Styela clava: one gene and its partner. Each later gene encodes a partner of the first gene's protein in a complex. Links are inferred from orthologs where the notes say so. Each region holds a gene or a part of one and is shown on either strand. Other genes may lie near its edges.

Region 1 (10,299 bases):
CCGGGAAATAGATAATAAAGCAAGGCTTTCCACCGTAACTATATACTACTAGGTTTCAACAAGTAATTTGCAACTGATAGTGACTAATGAAGTTACTAGCTCATCTGGCATTGTATGAATGGCTACTTATGGCTTGTTTTGTTACACATTTCACATTTTTTTTAACATGTTTGTTTGAACTTTGTATGAATTATGCAATGAATTAAATTTTGAAATACGCGCGTCAACTGATCATAATGGCGCATAATGTTGTATTCCTTCAGAACTGAAATATTTTGTTGGTAAGAAGACAAATCGCTGAAATTTGATTCTTTTCAATAAAAAAATAAAAACGCTATCATTCATCTAAAAAACGTCTGTTTTCGGTGCCTAGTTTTCGTTTTGTGACATTATTAAGCTTTCCTAATATACGGCTGATATCTAAAATACTGCAGTGTGTAATCCTAATACCCATACGTATACATAAGATACCGATATAATTCAAATGTTACGAAATAAACGTCCTTAAACGGTGATAATGATGTAACAATAGACGGTATCTAAAACTCAAAATGTACCACATGAAGGGTTAAACTATTTCACTCAAGTTCGGCGGGCCATTTTAAATCGTCACGCGAGCCGTAATTGGCCCGCAGACTGCGGTTTGGAACCACTCATCTACACTGATGAATATGCCATAGGCGTTATATTTGAATACAATTATACTAGAGTTAGGAATTACAGTGTGGAATCTCACCTCAAAATTAGGGGGGGTGTTTGAAATTTTAGGGGGGGTGTTCACCCCCTATAGGGGGGGTGTAGGGAAATCACTGTGGCGGTCACCGGAACGTAGTGTGTGTACCAGGTTGAAGTTATTAGGCCATAATTTTATTCTAATTTTCCTTATTACTTATCGATTTTAATCGGTAAGTATGTTGATAGGTATTAGTCTGTCTGTATGTATGTCTGTTAGATGCACGCGATATCTCACGAAAGCGAGATTGAATCTGCTCCAGATTTTGCATGTGCATTCATCTTATCTCGGACCAGTAGCCTATTGATTTTGGGCGAATTAGGTCGTATAATTAGCAGGTTATCAATCAATTATTGATATAGTGATCTAGATTTTTGTAAAGCGAGAGAATTTTGAGACCCGCCGAGTGTGTGTGTGTGCGATGCGCAGTGCGCAAGTTACAAGAGCGGATGAATCGAAACTGCAGTTTCCGTTTTGGGGGATCCCCTAACTATCGATCGATAAGTCTTCGGTTTCCAACCGATATTCTCGTTTTAAATCTTTCACGAGATCAGGGACTAGCCAAGTGACTCCCTTATTATTCGTACCTGAAATTTGTGCCTAACCCTAACCTGGTACACATACTACTTTCCGGCGTCCACCATCTTGGTGCACATACACCTGGCTGTACAAATATGTAGTGCCGAATTTCGTCACTGTATTTACATACGCCAAATCTCCAACTGAGTGGAGAAATAAAAATACAATTGCCACTAAAATGGTTCACTTGGTGCCAAATAACAAGAACACGTACATGGGGTCTGTCTTCTTTCAGATCGATGTTATTGTCAGATTAAACCATATTGTAATATTTTCTTCTGAACTATCGTGATGAAGTATTTAGTTCAACTTAAATTATTATAGATCCGTCAAATATGTCAGGCCAAATCCTATGATTTCCAGTATTCAAATATATAGTGATCTTTTCCTTCGAGAATGTAATCTCAACGACAAAAGAGTAGTACATGAAAATGGCTTTTCGGGGTCGAGGTTTCACCTCATCTCCCATATCGAAACAGCAAGATTAATACTGTGGACGACAAGTTTGCATTAGAGATGTACCGATACCACTTTTGTCGCCGATACCAATGAAAAAAGCCGACGCCGATATTCGAAAACGGCCGATATTACGATACCGATATTATGTAATTAGTACCTCAAGTGTGCAGGGCAGACGGTTTAAAACAATACTCTTTGGGCATTATTAATAGTGCACATTATTTCGGTTCAAAAAAGGGAAATATCACACACACACATATATATATATTAAGAAGTATATGTTTGGGATCCAAATGCTTTGATTGATTCAGATGCATTAAGCACTGGCGCTAGTATTCTCGGTGTTCAATTAGAAAACCAATAGAATTTGGCTACTGTTGGTGTTGAAATAAATAAATGTTTGAGCCTACTTATCGTATGAAACTGATACATCGAGTCATGGCGCATGATTTTGTGCCAATATAACGTCGTATTTTCTATTTCACACATGTCGATTGATATATTTCTTCATAATTATCATGCAAGATTAAAAATTTTAATATAAAAATTTGGCAGCGAAACAGCCGGTTTGGCTGATAGATGGCTAAAACAGATCAGAATACGATTTCCGTTTCTACATTTTCACATTATCTATACTGCTTTGGAATTTTCAGTGTTTTAAAATTGTATTTTTCGTCAGAAGGCTATTACTTTTATTTATTTCAACAATTTCTGTGGACCCTATTTGATTCGTTTTTTTTTGTGTACGATTACGATATCAAAAATTGCACACCTTGCGAAGGTTACGTTTGCGTTAGTCGTGAAGTTTGCGGTAATCTCCTGACTCTCTCGATTTCATTTATTTTTGCAAAATTGTTTTGTGAACTCAGCAAACACGCTGCGCTGGCACGATGAGTCTGGTAGTCTTTCGCAGCCACGCGTCAATTGCGAAAATATTGTATGGGTCTTTATTTCAATTGAACTTTTTGTTACCACTTTTTTATTACTTATGTCGATACAATATTCCATGTAAGACTAAAATAAAATATTTGAATCCGGTACGTTTTGAACTCGGTGTTTATATATTTGAGCATCGCTTTTTTGTTAATACGACGCTTATGTGAAAACGTCTTTCGCTCTGGACAGGGCCTTGTACAAGCAACCATGAGGTCTAACGTGCTGCTAATATTTGGATCGTACAGAATCTTTCCAATTCGAAATCGCCATTTTATTACACCTTGCGTGAGGGGCAAACCCTAGATGTGTAATATGTTATTGTAATACATTTAAAATTTATGCGTTTTAACTGCCAAGCCATCGAGCCACCAAGAAGGGCTTCGTAATCTCCCAAGGGAGGGGGAGCCAATAAAACGGCTTGATAAAAGCACCACGATATATTGTTCTCTTATAGTTTGGTTGAGAATTGCTAGCTTATTGTTATACAGTCATGGTTGACGGAGAAAGTCGTGACAGACTCCAAGTTACGTCGTGATCATTTTATGTAGTAGGTAAGGAGCTAGTATCGGCTCTGTTTATATCAGCTTATTCATATTAGTCTTATGACGAGTAAAGTGAAAATCTGGGGTTTAATCCTGTTGCAAGCGTGGGCGTCTGGGCGCCGGCGTTTGTCATTGGCTACAGCACTCTTGTAAGCCACAGTTCTATCCTCACTTGTGCCTCTGTCTTCAATTCTTTTTTTTGTAGTTCCTCTTAATGGATAAACTCCAAATGAACACAATTTGCTTAGTGTTCAGAGCAACCATTTTGTAAACCCAGCGACATGAGCTAACGCTTCATTGGTGGATTCCTACTTGCGTTTTATTCAAATAATGCAAATAATAATCTTTTTCATTTCCGATCTTCACATTATTTTGATGATTATGCCGGCCACCATATTAACCATCGCGCCTCTGACTACCCTGCGTGGGTTTGCTGATTCTAAACCCCTGGGTGATAATTATGTGCCAGAGGATTGCTGGAATCCTTGTCGCCGTTGGGTGGTTTCCGTGACCACTGCTCGGTTACGACTCCCTCTATCAACAAGTCCATGCATTTGAAAGAAATAATTGGCTATCTAATCCCATACCAGACATGTAATTGAGATTGTGATCTCGATAATAGCGATCTTTAATAGCGAAGCTTTGATTATTTACATGATATTATCAACAAATGAAACAAACCAAGGAATACGTTTAAACTTAAATTAACCAATTACCGTGCCGTATTATCGCTGTAATAACCATAGCATGCGTGTCGCCAAAACGATAAAATGCAAAATTACTGTACAGCGAGTGTGAGTTCGATTCCCTATAATGACGCACATTCAGATATCATTGGACATGATTCCATGATAATTGCGATTATCAGCTTTGTCAAGACCGATTTGTGGCAGAAGTCCTGAGACTATTTAATATTCCGTAGCTTTGTACATTGGTGTATCGGCCGCCATACCTCAGTGGTTGGAGCACTGGTCTCGTGGACCAGGGGTCGTGAGTTCGGTCCTCACTGGTGGCTTCCATCTATCTTCTCGTTTTCTGCAAAGCAATTTCTAAATTTACTTTGAATGTTACCCATTAGCCACAGCAATGAACTTCCAGTTCTAAATACATTGGCTCGATATCAACGACGGAAAAGAGAGAAATTCTTGAAAAATAAGGGTAAGGGTACGATAGATAATGACTCCCCGTCTTACACCAGTATCCAGCCAGGGATGTATTTTTAAAATGCTTTTCTTTGATTTTCGATCAGGATGCGGCCTCGTATTTTTGTCGCGTTGTACGTTGGCTGCCATAGCTCAGTGTTTAGAGCACTGGTCTTGTAAACCAGAGGTCGTGAGTTCTATCCTCACTGGCGGCTTTATAATCCCTATTTATTCTATACTAACACAATTCAACTCCTGTGTTTACTCTTCAATATGAGTACTGCTGTGAGCAATTTACACAGCTAAATAACATATAGATAGGCCAGAATAGGTCGATGCAACGCACTCGAGTGAGTGAAAAGTTAGCTCTACATATTAATTAAGATAGTACAATTGACATATGTCATGGAATAAATTCCTTTATGAAGTGTATACATACACCTCAATGTAATATAATGGTTTATGTTCAGTTGTCTTTGACTCCGACCACCATCGGTAAAACGTATGCGAGACGTTTTTTTTAATACAAAATGCATCATGCCAGATTGCAGTGCATCAAACTGAGACATATGTATATTTTAGCATTGAATCTGTCATAATTCAAGTTCACTATTTACTAATAATTATATCGTCATAAGTATATACAATATACTTTTAATATTATACTTATATTAGAACAGAAATTATTTCTGAGATTTCTTATTTCCATGGAGAAATCTGGCATCTGTTATGCACTTTTACCGAGTGCGGTTTAATAATTCACCACTGTGAAGTTAGCATTATTATTAGACTATTGCTGTAGATTTTTAGATTATTCGGCATTTTGGTGTCATGAATTAATTTTAGCGGTTCATGTTTACTGAGATTCCACTTATTAATAATACTTAACTTTATATTTGATAGGGTTTTATTACAAAACAGATTGCCTGTTTCTACCATCACCTCATGTTTCAGAGAATTTGTAAAATCCTATCCTTTTGTCCTTGATCAAATAAAATGGCTGTAACATCGTGTACGTTATTCACCCTTTCGAATCTACCTCCAATTGAAATACATAGCATATTTTCAGACAGTAGCCTAGGATAACTTTAACAATTTTCTGAATCTAGATAGGCTAGTTCTGTAGTTTACATTTTAAAAGCAAAAGTTATCACTGTTCCAGGATTTTGTTTTTCAGTTCTAAATCAACTATGAAAATGGCGTTATCAAGAAAAGAAGCTGATGAATTGAAGCCTCAAATCAGTGGAATTGTTGAAAAAGTACTTGGTTTCTCCGACAATTCTGTTGTCGTGGCAGCAATCCAATGTCTACAGAAGGACATGGACAAAGGAAGAATAATTGGTTTGTATTTATTGTTGCTTTACCACAATGATAAATCGTAAACAGGATTTCTAAAGCCCTCCATTTGAAATGCAAAAATCTTTGTTGCATCTCCTGAACAATTTCTGGAAGTTGTTGTTTCTATTTCCTCTTTCAGTCTTTATTCTGTTATTTGTGTATCAATTTTTATTTATTAGAGTTCTCGGGGCTTAACCACCTGAATATCTATTACTCTAAGATTTTCATTGGCGGAATAAATATGAAATCGACTCATGCTGATCGTTATCATAAGAATGTTGGTGTCTTATCGATTGGTTTTTCGACTCGGCTCCTAGTTGTGTTCATCTTACTTCTACAAGGACTCTTTGTCGTTCTCAAACATCATTTTATTCAGACATCTCTTTATGGTATACCTATAAACATGGTTCATGGTTATACTTATGGTTCAATAGCAAATATTGTGAAATTGAAGATTGAAATTATTTATTTATCCGGTAGATCATTATTGGATAGAGATGCATCCAGTGCTATCATTTTTGCTTATTAATATCTCCAGTGACAGAGCAGTTATGTTGGTATTGAGAACAAATTTTACCTATTTGATGTGAATCATCTCGTAAATCTATAATTTGAAATTAAAAGTGTTGAAAAGAAACATATCACCTAATGTCATGCAATGAAGCGCATCTCTCATTGACAGTAAGGAATGGCTAGGATTTTATATTAGAGTTACATATCTGACATTTGTTATTGCGTTTTTGAGACTTCACGTTTTTCAAGTTTTAAAATATAGCTTCTTATTGAACCTCTTATTTATTCACAACATTTCATTCAGAACATCTGCAACCTCTGATGGATAAATCAGCAAAAAAGTTTGTTGAGGAGTTGTATACAACAGTTGAACTTTCTAAAACGAAAAAGAAAAGCAGAAAAAGAAAGGTCAGTTTTTCTTTGTTTTTTCTTCGGAACCATTTTTTATGAGCAGGCTCTGAACAAGGTTCTAGACATGTTGCCAGATTGATTGGCATATAATAAATACAGGTTAGGTGGAAACGATTAGAATTTGAAATCTCAAAATGCGAAGTGAATTATTTGAATGCAGACTTAAAATATCTGGTTTACCAGAAATTCGTTGTCTTGGCGATTAAGATTTGATTTTCATGTAGGTTTTTGTGTGGGAACAGTTTTTTGTGGCTCTCAAACAAGTCGAATATTTATATTGCAATTGCCCCATTTTGAAATAATTTCACACTTGTCGTCAAGTAACTTACCTGTCAACAAAGCAATTCTTATTCTTTCTAATCATATTGTTTTAGGAGGATGAAGTTGAAACAGCAGGGACCAAGAAAGTTCGTCGTTTTGTTGAACCTGATATTCCTGTTGCTCTTCCTGCTGAACCCATCGCTGAGAGTCCTGGAATGCTCACCACTCAACAGGTGAAGACGAGATTTTGTCGTTTCCATTCACTTACTATCTTTCAATTAACCTATACGAACCTGCCGAAATCCTATGTTATTCTGCAAGCTTCCATTGAACCCCATCAATTTTACCAGTAAGAGTTGATAAGGCTATAAAAATGCAACAATCTTCAATTTAATTCGTTATTATGTAGCATAGGTTGAGTTTTTAGGACATACACTCTAACAATGATATGACTCATCAACACCCTGAATGCAGCGCTCATTTAATCAATGTTAGGCAATCCACTGTTCGGATACGACCGCCAGCCAAATTCATTCAGCTTGAGACGTATCAACTAGCTTTCACAAGAATAGGGCTAGTCGCTTTTTATACAGTTCTAACTAAACCGCAGTGTTGCCACTATTCAAAGAATATGCGTATCGCCAAATAATCTTCAGCGGAATAAAACTACGGTATATGTAACTAATTATTTCCTCACTTAAAGCTCCAGATAAGTAGCTGCTTATACCTGGACAATAACTAATTTTACTAATCAGCATGTCTAATATATTTGTGTGTCATGTCGTGGGCCTTGGGCTTAATATGCTTAACTTCTGATATTCATCTATTGCATTTAACTACTCGACCTTATCGTCTCATATTTAGTTATTTTAAATACATTTTATATCAAAAATATCATAGTTCCACAGTGTGACCAGAAAAGCCTCCATTTAATATATGGAGTCTATATCGGTAATATGGAAGAGAAGACCACTCAAATTGATGTTTTTCTGAATTACTCATATGCTATTCCAAATTCAAAGTCATTGGATAAATATATAAAACACTTAAAGTCCCTAAAATCACGAATTAACTAACGTATTTTACGCAGCACACTAGGTCATGATGCGCACCGTCAATAAATTGCTCAGATTGGGTTTTTATTCATACATAAGGCGGAACCGTACTGGTTTTGAGCGCAGGCACATTACCTGGTCTATTACATTAGGCGCGTCGCGTTGGCTCGGAAGCCGCACAATCAATTTTCAGAAAAAAGTATTTGAAACGCTGCCTTCCGTAAAATACTGTATATAGAATATAACTATCTTTAGATATATTTGAATACTGTTTTCATTTTCTACATACCTGTGCTAGGTATGCCTAACTATCAGTGTATAATTTTTTTGCGTTACTGCTAACTATCATTATCCTCTTTCCAACATACAGATCAAAAACATGATGGAACACGCCAGAAAACAAATTGAACAAAGGAAGGAACAATTGAAAATGATGGATCCAGCTGATATCAGAGCTCAGGCTGAAGCAGCTAAGGTATCGGATCACGTATATATTGGGGAATAAAAATGTTGCCTCGTTGGTTAGCGACCTATTTGTCGTCATGTTAATTGGTTCAATTTGCTTCAAATTCTGAAGATCAATCATTTATATTTGCTTCTCTGCCACAAACCATGATGACACCTAACACAATTTTTAAAGTAAGTCAACTTGGTTCAGAGAAAGCAAGGAGGAAGAGCATAGCCTGAAATACGGTTGAAAACTAACATGTTTTATGTGTCTGAGAATTGCTATACCAGGGGAGGGCAAGGTTTTTGAACCAGGGGCCAACAATTTTGCCCACCTAGACTGGCGGGCCATGTAATTATGACGTTGAAAGTTACATTTTAAGAATAAATTTACAGTGTTACAAAAGCAAATTTGAAAAATAAGCCTCATGCCAAAACTAAAATTGCAATAAATTTTTTCGAGCTATTTGACAGCTAAAACATCAAAATTTGGTTTTAGTTCGATTGTGGCAGCATCAGACAAGCAGATTGAATTGCCTAACTGAATTACCCACGGGACGTAGTTTGCCCATGTCAGTGCTAGACTATACAACATCACCTTTTCTCGGTTCCCATTAGTTTGTTGTGTGGTCGAGCTCCCTCATCCTCTTTCTTTTTTCATGTAGAATTTAACACAGTCATTGTCATGCTGAGCATTATTAACATGTTCTCATTGTACTGCAATTATTTAATTTGCATGGCTTCAAATTCTCTGTGCGGCAGCGGTTCCCAGAGATTTTGTTCGTGCAGTGCCAAATTATCAGAGAAAAAACTCACGGCGTGAAAACGATAAAAATTTTGGTGATAATTAACGTGTACTCCACGTATTCAAAGTCTGTAAACATGTAGGCGTAAGGAATAAAGGCAAAATGTCAACTCTTCTTCCTCATCTTTGCCTGATTTTTCTTTGAAATGCTAAACAAATCACCAAGGTTGTGATGAGAACTTCGTGGACACCCTGTATGTTAAGGATATTGTCTTATGCATCGTGCTGTGCTGGTGCAACAATTTTTGAGTGAAGTCATTCCTTTACCAAATATATCAAAATTTTTTAGGAAACTATTGAAACATACCGTAAATGAAACCCAGAACCTCAGATCATAGCACTCGAAAATACTACATTGGGTCGCGTTGTGCTTTCATTTCTATATTAATCATCACATCTATATTAATTATCATTTTTTGTGAAAATTTTGCAGATTTCCAATGGCAGTGAACAGCAGGCTCTAATAGAAAGTTCAATGACAAAAGCTGAAAAGGCTGCAGAATTGCAGAGAAAAATACAAGAAAAATTAGCTGCTAGGCCTGGACTCTTAAGTAAGTGTTGCAAGGGTTTGTCCAACATACAGGTTAATATTGCTAGTGGTACAGATATATCTCAGGTTACTCATGGTTTTATTTTCCTCTATTTCAGTGGAACATTTGGTCCAACTTTTGTCAACAGAAGAGGACTCAGTGTGTAACATTACCCTGAATCTATGTCAATTATTAACTGATTTTCTGTTTAAACTTAGGTGCACCACCTTCGACCCCCGAAGCAATGACATCACTGATTGCTAAAATCACAGGCAAAGTTGGGTATGATGAAATTTTTATTCCCCTGAAATTTATTACAAACCTTAGCTGCGAGAAAGCTTGCAGTTTCCAAGTGTCATTTTTTTGGATGCCCCTTACCCTTGTGAAAAACATCAATTTTCTCTAAAGTGTTGCCAACTCAAATTACCTTGTATTTTTATTGTTTTTTTACTCCACTCCTCCTGTATCATGACGGCTTGAATACAGCGAAATCCGGCGGGTTTGGAGCCTCGACCTTTACCACCTTGCCGTTGACCCACATATGATAG
Region 2 (10,494 bases), on another chromosome or scaffold:
CGGTGGTATAGTTATGTTTGCTTCTATTATAGTAATAACTAACTACACATAAATTATCAGGTCAGTGAAGATCTCGCTGAGAGGGCTGATGCATTCGGTATGATTCTTGATGATGTATCACTGACACATTTAACCTTCGGAAGAGAATTTACACACGCTGTCGAAGCAAAACAAGTCGCCCAGCAAGAAGCAGAACGAGCTAGATTTGTTGTGGAAAAGGTTTGAATTATATTTGGTAGATTAGCGCTTTGTCTCTTTTCGGGTATTTTAGATATTTTTATGTTTTTCTGTATTTAGGCTGAGCAACAGAAAATGGCTGCTGTTACAACGGCAGAAGGAGATGCCAAAGCTGCTCAACTTATCGCCAAAGCAATTGGTATGTTCATTATTTTATTTGCACTAGCTACTTCTGTTAGTGCAAACCCGTTATATGCATTGATGATTGTCGAATCACATAGCTCGGCAGTATGAATAGCTTACATTACAATCACTTAGTGCAGAGCGGGCAGTACACAGGATCACTTCGACTGGCAGCCAATTATCTAGATTCTTTTCATTTGAGTCGGTCATCAGTAGAGCTCGACCAATATCGATATATCGGCCAACTAGCGGCCGATAATCGATATTAATATAAATCATGTTGTGACCCACAAAATGGGCTTTTATGATGTACCTCGTGAGTCTGTAGTTTATTTTAATATTTATTTATTATACGGCTGATATTTTGCATAACCATGTTTCCAGAGTTATAAAGGGAGATCCCATGGTTAGGTGAACTGGTCGAAATATAATTAGTGTTTTGAAAACTGTTGAATGCTGAGAGTTAAAAATTGCACAGACTCTCAATATCTCATTCAGTTGATTAAAATGGATTCATTTATTTTTGTATAACTCTCACTAAAATGATGGCAACCAAGAAATTCAAAATTGCATTCAGGGAGGTCACAAATTTGGAACCAGTTTGATGACATTATTATATGATAACCGTATTGTTATTGTACAACAGCCATTGAAATGCATAAGTGCAATTATTTTTCATGGTAATAGATGAATAAAACAAGTCCCATTGAAAGAAGGTATTGCTATTAAAAGGACCCCAATCAATTTAGTCTTAATTACCTGTACCATGTTTCTGTGATTACTAACTCAACATCTCCAAATCGATTCTATTTATAGAACTAGCGCTTCTTTCAATAAAAAAATTGCCTTTTTCTCTTTGTGTACTCTCTCAAAACGTGATTTTAAATGTTACTCCGGATAATAACTTTTCAATCATCATCATGCATGAAAAGGCTAATCATATGTCACTGGGTATTAGGAGAGACACCTTTTTAATACAAAATGAAAGCAGAGAAAGATTGGGAAAACAGTTAGGAAGAGGCGAGAGTCGTTGAAGCACACAGCCCGACTAATGCGGATGTATATATCGGCAGTTTACCTTTATTCTTTTGTAGCCCACTTCTGTCGCCCATCAACGGTGGTCTAGTATGACTTTATGTAATGGTTTGTCTAGTCATCAGTACGACCTCAAAGACCATGTTTTTCTAATTTTGTTAAGAGGCAGGATGACCATTTTACTATCAGTAACCTTATATGTTAAAAATGTCTCAAATTTAACTTTGTATTAACAGCGGAAGCTGGTGAAGGTCTGATTGAACTTCGTAAGCTGGAGGCAGCAGAGGAAATCGCCCAAGTAATTTCACATTCAAAGAACGTTTCATACCTTCCATCAAATCAACAAGTACTACTGGCGCTTCCTGCTCAACAGTAATCATGGTTGACCAGTGACTATATATCACATCATGTGGTGGAACAATTGTAAATTAAGACTAGCAATTAATTTGTGCTTTTCAAGTTGAATGCGAGTGATAACTGTTCTTGTGGTCTCTGCGCTTTCTGGTATCTCGTCCTTTACAATATAGTGATTGATAAGTGTTCCTGGAAACATGAAGTAAACAACAAAACAGCCTTGATCACTTTGCTCTCATTCGGACCATTAAAATACAGTTTTGATTATAAACCGTGTTTATGACTGTTTGGAATAGCAAAAAAGTGTGGTCAAGGGGAATTCTGGTTTATTTCTGTAATACTGCTGATTAGGTTTATATACTAGCGAAGCAGGACAGGATTCTGTGCATTCGATAAACTTCATGCAAAAATTTGTTCGTGTTTAGCACCATGATTCAGCCTGGAGAAGTTAATATTGGCCATTCAGTAAAGGTGTGGGAGTCTGGAGACACTTGGAGTTCTTCAACCAGTGGGTCGCAAATTTGTTCTGTTGTCAATATTCCAATAAAGCAAATCCCTTTTATTAATTGCAGTTCTGATCCCAGGATCCTCTAAATAGGCATATTTTCTAAATGTACGCAATCATACATACTCAATGATCGTAGTATGCCTTTTTAGTCAGATATTATTGAAGGAAAAGAAAGTCGTGATATCAATGACAATGGATTTCCAAAATCATGGATTTAAGCATAGGTGGTGGAAGAAAAGCACTGATTAACAATAAAAGTATGATTCGAGCAAAGTTTGTGGTACGAAAGTCAACACCATTCACCAATTTTATTAGGAAATTGTACTGTCTTTTTAAAAGAAACTGAGTATATCTTTCAATTTTGTCTCCCCTATTAAATTTCAGCATAACTGCCAGGGTTTTAATGTATTTCCCTGTTTTAAAGGATGCTGCTCATGCAACATATTCCTGACTATGCTGAACAGCATTCAGTTAGTTGTAAAATATTTGTGCAATGGTTAAAAACTTCAGTGTCATGCCATTCCTCGAAGAGGTGGCGACACCAAAATTACTCCATCACCTCGCACAAACAACATTGGAATGTTTCTTTTAGTTTGTTTATAAATTTCTTCATAAGTCTCTTCATCAATTTCAACTGCGGTCACGGTTTCTTCTACTTCTCCGAGAACCATGTTAAGATGTTGGTCGTATGCATGTAGTCGACCACGAAGTTCTCGTTCGTTTCGCATTTTTACATAAACCCTTTCGTCCAAACTCAATCGAATCAGATCAAGAGGCTCTTCTACTGTCTGTGTGACTGGCGGTGGCTGTAAAAGTAAGATTATATGTAAGTTATTTGAGCATTTTTCAGTCGTAAGTCAGTAGGGCACAGTTCTCTAATTCCAAGATGTCTCTGAAACGAGGGCATCTGGCACGACTGCAATGGTTTGCCAATGTAGAGGCCCAGACTGTCTCTTAAAAGAGGGGTTTGCACTCACTGTAATAAATGATATCTTTTGATGTAGGGGCTATCCTTTGAATCTGAGAACTGTGTCGTACTGTAAGTATAAGTCTGTTTCGACTACAGAATCAGGAGAGCAAACAAAACCTTAGATAAGGTTTGAAATTTACAGAATCATTTACATAAGAGTAGGGGTGCGGCGGTGTGGCTCATCGTGCTAAGCGTTAGGAATATGCTTGCCACCGCATCTTTGATTACTCTGCGTGGGTTCGCAAGTTCGAAACCCATGCAGGGATAGTTATGTGCGAGAGGATTGCTCGCCGTCATAGAGTGGTTCACGTAACCGCTGGTCAGTTATGGTTCCCTCCACCATCAAGTCCGTGCTACCGAAAACAAACAACTAATCCTATACCCGACATGGAAACCGGACGAGAGGCCCTGGTTCGCCATATTGTTAAGCTGTCTTAGCGACTTACCTCTCCCCGGGAGATAAATATGTGAATCCTATTTATGTGTGTGAATTAAATTAATAGGCCTACAACCGAAAAGACATAATGCAGTACCGTAATAATTGAAAAACAAACTAGGAACCTAAGATAAACAAAAATGAAAACTAGACAAAGTAATAAAAAGATATTCGCCACACCGTATGAATAATTTTGTAAGGAGTGCTAAATTGAACAGGAAACTCATATCATTGCTGCATGGAGAGAGCTTTTTCATGAAATAAAAATCTATCCTGAAGTTTCATTACCAAATATTAAATTTCTTACCGGCTGCTCATCATCTGCCATTTTGCCGCGATTTAACTCTAGCACAAGTTTTCTAGGTAAGTGACAATTTTTCGAATAGGCTTGACAAATAAATTCCCAAGGCTTCTTAGCTCTTTTGCGCTAAATTACCTGATCCCCGCGTTCCATATCGAAATGTGTTGGAGGCGTGGCATAGGCGGGGATACCAATAGAACTAGTGACCCATGACCGATAACTTTTTTATATTTCCCCTTTTCTACAAAACCATAATTCACGGAATACTGTTTTGAAAGTAAAAATAATAACCTATATTTTCATATTTGTACTTAAAAAATATACATATAAGCCATTAGTAATCAAATATATTAACCCAGATAAAAATTGATTTTTTGTTGTGAAATCTTGATCGACCAAACGTCAATCAATCGACTTTGTTTATGTCTTTCGCTGACTGGTTCCTTAGGTCTGTAGATAGAGTATCTTGGTCTTTGTAATTTGCGACTTTGTTGTATTGTATGGAATTTGTCGTTTAATTGAAACAATTTAATGTACCGGGATGCGGCGACATCAAGTTTTAACTGGAGCTGTTAACCCAGGAAATCACTGTTTCAGTGTAGGCAGCATTGCAAGTTTCACGTTTTGGGTAAGGTAGCAAGATAATATACACAACCATTTGCAGTCGTTTGTAGATTAAGTTCTTATAGCCGAAATTATTTTGTATTCAGGCATATGGATCAGGATGTGATCTGGTAATATTGGGAGTAGATCTTCAACCCATTCACATTATACCTGGTCATGTAAAAGGGTACAAACTTATTACTTGTCTGGATTGCTGTCAATTTGTTGGAAAGGTAGGCTATATTTATATCTATTTCAGTATTTGGCAAACTATATTTTAATTTTGTGGGTATGATATCCTAAGTAGAGGACTGAGTATACTGTCAGTCTGTCACTTTATGTTAGAGATCATGAGATCAAGCCTCGTTTTGTTCAATCTCAATTTATGTCCTCTACTTCATTGTAAAAGTGCCATGGTTTACATAGGTTATTTTTATTGAACCTATGCAGCATGCCACTAATAAGTAGCTTTCTGTACAAAGACTTATTTGGGGAGGTTAGGTGAAATTGTCTTATCAAAATCTTATAAATTTTAGTTGAACATTTTTAGAACTTTAATTTTCTGAAGGTATGTTCAATGAATGGCCACTCCATAAACAGTTTGTGTTGAAGGCCAATTTAGTTTAAATTAGAATATTTGTACAAATACTTTCTGAATTTTAAAAGCTTAGAATGAAATTGAATAGCATTTTCTGCTATTTATGTCACAGAATTATTGTTTACAAGTGTGTTACGAACTACAAAGCATTCACTATGATTATTTTGAATAGATCAATATTTGAAATTGCAACTTGCAGGAATACTTTTATTGTATCATTTACCACCATATTGTTTTCTAGATTGCTGTTTCATATGGACGAGACATTGTTATATATCATCCAAAACTTTTGCGAAACGAAAATGACGATGTACCGGTGAGTATTTGTCTCGCATAACTTCACAGGCAATGATACAAACTGAAACCATTTTTATTAAAATATACATTTTTCAGGTTTTTACATGGATTGAAGAAACAACATTAACATTGAAAGAAAGTGTGGGACGGGCAACTGTTTTGTCCTGGGCATCTACTGGTATGGCATTGACTTTATTAATATATATATATTTATGTTTTAATATTAATTATTTATTATTGCATAAAAATTTTGGGTGCCACTTTGGTATGCGATCTCACTTGCTTAACATGATCTCAATTGTTTAATCTAATGAAGACATTCTCATAGGATTCAGTTCCGAACGCTAACTAATGTGTCTGAAATCACAGAACCGCTGAGATAGCATCCGAAGTAGCACGCAAGTATGTTACTCTACATTTATTTGGTGTGATTAACCAACTTATTTAAATTTGAAATTGGTCGTAAGTAAATCAGTTTTGAGATGTAGATGTTCTAATTTTTCATTCAACAAATATAAGACATTTTTCGGTATATTTAGAGTAGACGCAAAATAAATTTATTTGTCTTATTGTCGCATATTTTCTCTGCTTGTTTTACTATTAATGATATCTTGTCAAATATTATTTTGAAGGTGAAAGACTTCTTGTTGGATGCAATGAGATACTACTGTATGAGATCAAAAAAGAATCTGCAAAAGAACCAAAGAGTCACACTTTAAAAGTGCAATTTTCTATTGAAGAAAGTGAGATTTATTTGTATTTCTAACAAACAAATATTAATCTAAATCTGAAAGGACAATTCAGATGTATTTTCCATCGGAACTCACAACTACGAATTAAGAGTATTTTAGATTCTATTTCCCTACTCCAGTGTAGCATAGTTTTACAAAATTTCAACTCCTGTCTCCTATGGGTTTAAATTTTTTTTGACCTCTGACGTCTAAAATTTTGCAAACTGCAATATCGTTTACGAAATATGATTTATGAAATATCCAGCCTGCGTCTTTACCTCTAGGTCTCAGAATTCACAGCTCTTAAGTTAAGTCAGGCTGTTTGCTTGTGAGGGATAGTACATGCTGGGACATTGAAATAACCAGCACAGAACCAATTTAGTTTTATCACAGTTATCATAATCATTTTTTCCCTCTTGTGATATCAATGAAATCTATCATTCTAGTTATGGAGTTTCATATTTTGACTTTCTCGTATTCGTTTGGCTTATTCACTCTAAATATTACTTATGTTTTATTCAATTTTGTTTTGCAATATTTTAGTTGAGGAAGAAGATGAGACAGAAGACAATTTTACAGCAGAAGAAGAAGCTGTACCTCAAGGTAGACTGATGGTTATATTTCAAAAACAGAAATTTTTTTAATTTCTGTTAAACTTGGATGTGTGAAATTGTGTAGGCTATAAGAAAGCAAAAAAATGGGTGCTCCCGAAGCATGTGAATCAAGATGGTTAGGGTCAGGCGATAATTTCAAGTACAAAGACTGCAGGAGCCACTTGGCTAGTCCCCGAACTCGTGATAACACTAAAATAAGGAAAATTGGAATTAAATTATGGCCTATCCCTAACCTGGTACACATACTACATTTAGGTGTCTGCCATCTTGGTTCACATACTTCGGGAATACCAAAAAGTGTTCTCTTTTCTGCAACCCAGTAGCGTTCTGAGTAGTTGCTGGAATGACCTGTCTTTGGAGTGAAAATATGTAATACTTTATAAAACGGATTTGCAGCCTTTTTTTCATTCAAAAATCGTTGATACATGGTTCCCACTTGTCAATGAATTTTCTATGCCAACATTATATTCACATTTGAAATCCGTAACATTTTTCAGAAGTAAAATGGGAGTTGGCTTGGAGCAGCGGAATAGAAGAAAATCCGCATGATGTTCAATATGCACCTGATGATACTTTGTTTGCTTCTATTTCTTGTGGTGACTCCATGATTAAAGTATGGCATCAACGAAATGCCCTGCCAATGCACCTGTTCAAAGATGCCTCCAGTCCTGGCAAAAAACACACTCAGGATGGGAATATTCAAAATGTAAGGGAATTTTCTGACTTTGTGTTTTATATTCTCAATTCTCTTGTTTTCAATTTATCATTTTTTGTGTCCTTCTCCTTTCAATGTTGATTCCCATGTGTGTGCTCGGATATTGGAATTATGTGTGTTCAAGGGAAATGATGTAGCCTACTCGTTACTATGTAGTTACATTATTCAAGGGGATTGCTGTACTCATTACTGTTGCAAGCCTCACTCCACAGTTTGTGATTTTCAACTGGTTAGTTATTTCACACCAATGTGGACTGGTAAATGGATAGAGCCTCGACCCCTGATATATGTTATTAAAAGGTATCTTTGTTATATGGATAAATATGGAAAATACTATGCTATGTTAAATGCGAGATATGTTGATAAAATTATTATATAACTTCTGTAAGGCTTACTGTAGTTTTCACTTTTCCGGATTTTAATATGTGAAGCAGTGTAGTGGTATTATTTAAATTGCTTTGGACATTTTATCTATTTGTTTGACTCCTAAATACTTAGTCCAAAAACTATTTGTACAAATAAGCTTGGACTTCAGTTTAAAAATCAGTTTTGTGGTCTCCTTCCAATTATCCTAATCCTCCCGGTTTGACGCATGCGCGACGTTTTGCAATGCTGTGTGTATACCATGAGGTCTGGAATGTTTGTTATGGTCTTGCTTGAAAGGAAATCTTATTCCCCACACAACGATATGAGAATGAACCTTATATGACATTTAGAAGTGATAAAATTTCGCTTACATATCACGCGTGTACTTCCCGCTGCGATATAAAAACGTCGCACAACAAGAAAATGATTCCATAAACCTTGGCGTTGCGCGCTAACCAATAACAAAAGCTAGTATGATAAGGTCTTATTTTGAAGGTCATTTTATATGCTACATAACATAGAAGAGTGGACATCTCACAACGTCAGGAAGTTATAAAAATATCGAGTCGTTTGATCGCAGCTGCCTCACCGAAAAAAAGTTAGGCGTTTTATCTCGCAAATTCTCCTTGTCTGACGATTATAAGCTTTTATGATTCATAATAAATGTTTTATTATGACTCACAAAAGCTTTCAACGCGATAAAGCACAAACAAACAACCGATCGATCTATCAAGCTTAGCCTGGCCTGATTCGATGTGGTGACTTCTCAAACGGAAAATTTCCAAAACGCTTCAACAACGCGCGCTATGGAAAAGCGTTTAGTATCATATGAAAGAGAAAACCAATGTGCAGTCAACTGTATAGTCACATTTCAGCTTTACAATAGCTGTAGACGTCTATCAGCTGATAGAATGAGAGAGTGTAAATATTTTTGTTATTTTTTGACGTTACGAGAGACCTCTTGAAAGAGGTGTTTTAGTTTACGGTCCTCCAGTGACATCTAGCGTATAGTACTCTAAAATACCTTTCCAATGGTATATAATTATTGTATATTGGGTAAATTTTGGGGGTCGTATGACATTAATAAAAATGTATTCAAAATTGGGCTCGATTGGGCGTCTGAAACAGGTTATAATAGCTCCTGAAATAGCGTTAGATATCAGTGGATGCTTCTATGGGGCCTTGTTTGGAGTGAGTGACATGAAAAACGTTACTTTCTGATCCTGTTTGTGAAACCAGCGGACAAAGACTTTCCGAGTCTTGATACCTCCTGATATTAAAATTGCATGAATTGATATAAATGAAAATTCTGCCTAAAAAGGGACATATATTCAGAAAAATTGTAATTTTGACCATTATATTTATACAAGGTCTTGAAAAATAAAAGTCAAACACCCAAAAATTAAAAACGATTCAACACATATGCTTATTTTCAGACAATGTCAAGCACAAGTCATATGGATCTTCATGAGCAATACCATACTTCTCTACCTACAACAACTAAATTGGATTTTACGTTCACTTATTTGGTTCATCCTAAACCTGTTGCTGGATTTTCATGGAGAAAAGGAGTTCCATTATTACCAAAGTATGATGCTTAATATTTTTGTGATCATTCAGGTCTGGTATCTGGTATATAGTATCACCTGTCGAAAGGGATGGAGGAAACTGAATACTTTTGCATTATGGATATATTTCAAATTGATTCATTTTTTGGGGATCAATTTTAGAAACATTGTGATTATGGCAAAAATTAAAATACAGTTTGCAGTAATTAATTAAATTTATTTCCAGTACTAGGTGTCTGATATAGGTTTTCCGTCCATGCGTAAGAGGCACTTACTCATAGTCATAAATATTGAAATAGCTCAATTTGGGAGGTGCAGAAATATTTTTATGTTAGCATGTCTTTTGATTTGATTCAGTTATTTTGCTCAAAAAAAGTTGTGAGAAATTACAGTATATAAGATGCACTGGGACAGGATGTGCCGGTATATCAAATATCAAACTAGTTTTGTGTGTCTGGCTGTATTCTTGTCTGCAGTCTAATTGAGAAGGTTACAACTTTATGTGGATGATACATAAAAAGTAACTTGTAGTTTTAATGCTATTTTATTATTTTATATTATAGCGGTTCTGTTCCCAACGTTCTGATAAGCTCATGTCGAGATAACATGTGCAGAATTTGGTGTGAAACTCTGACTCGAGAAACTGATGTTACCAAACTTGCTGCGGCTCATGCAACAACTCAACCTAAGCATCAAATTGGAAAGAAAAGACATCATCTGAATCAGGATAAAGGAACACCAGGAACCGTTCCTGTCAAAAAGGTTGGTAGAAAAGGTTTCATGTGATAAATTTTCTGAGATTTGAGGATTTTAGTGCCATATCTAACCTGGTGTAGAGGTAAATTGATAAGCTTATTTGATTATATTATATACAAAAGACTATTGTCCAATCATCAGTTCAGGATGGGTATAAGAATTGCTAAAGATCTATGGACTTGCCAGTTGTAACTGACCAACGATGACATGACAACTCTGGGACGGCGAGGGGCCAGAAAACTTATTGCACAGAATTACCCTGATGATACAATGGCATTCGAA

The links. The genes of interacting proteins can lie anywhere in the genome.
Region 2: U4/U6 small nuclear ribonucleoprotein Prp3-like (region 1) and U6 snRNA-associated Sm-like protein LSm3 share a complex: the UniProt entries of both Homo sapiens proteins name them as parts of the precatalytic spliceosome. The link is inferred for Styela clava from reciprocal best matches to the Homo sapiens genes PRPF3 and LSM3.

The regions. Positions count from the first base shown.
Region 1 is NC_135262.1:3,870,664-3,880,962, forward strand, and holds the start of U4/U6 small nuclear ribonucleoprotein Prp3-like, read left to right. Parts: upstream 1-5,234; 5' UTR 5,235-5,581; coding exon 5,582-5,732; intron 5,733-6,546; coding exon 6,547-6,650; intron 6,651-7,027; coding exon 7,028-7,147; intron 7,148-8,339; coding exon 8,340-8,444; intron 8,445-9,654; coding exon 9,655-9,772; intron 9,773-9,969; coding exon 9,970-10,033; intron 10,034-10,299. UniProt on the Homo sapiens protein: Plays a role in pre-mRNA splicing as component of the U4/U6-U5 tri-snRNP complex that is involved in spliceosome assembly, and as component of the precatalytic spliceosome (spliceosome B complex).
Region 2 is NC_135261.1:10,468,116-10,478,609, reverse strand, and holds U6 snRNA-associated Sm-like protein LSm3, read right to left. Parts: upstream 4,133-10,494; 5' UTR 3,992-4,132; coding exon 3,971-3,991; intron 3,064-3,970; coding exon 2,770-3,063; 3' UTR 2,396-2,769; downstream 1-2,395. Other genes in the region: prohibitin 1-like, read left to right, coding at 61-219, 298-376, 1,632-1,771; dmX-like protein 1, read left to right, coding at 4,506-4,592, 4,675-4,800, 5,407-5,481, 5,559-5,640, 6,095-6,205, 6,737-6,796, 7,305-7,513, 9,325-9,476 and 1 more. UniProt on the Homo sapiens protein: Plays a role in pre-mRNA splicing as component of the U4/U6-U5 tri-snRNP complex that is involved in spliceosome assembly, and as component of the precatalytic spliceosome (spliceosome B complex).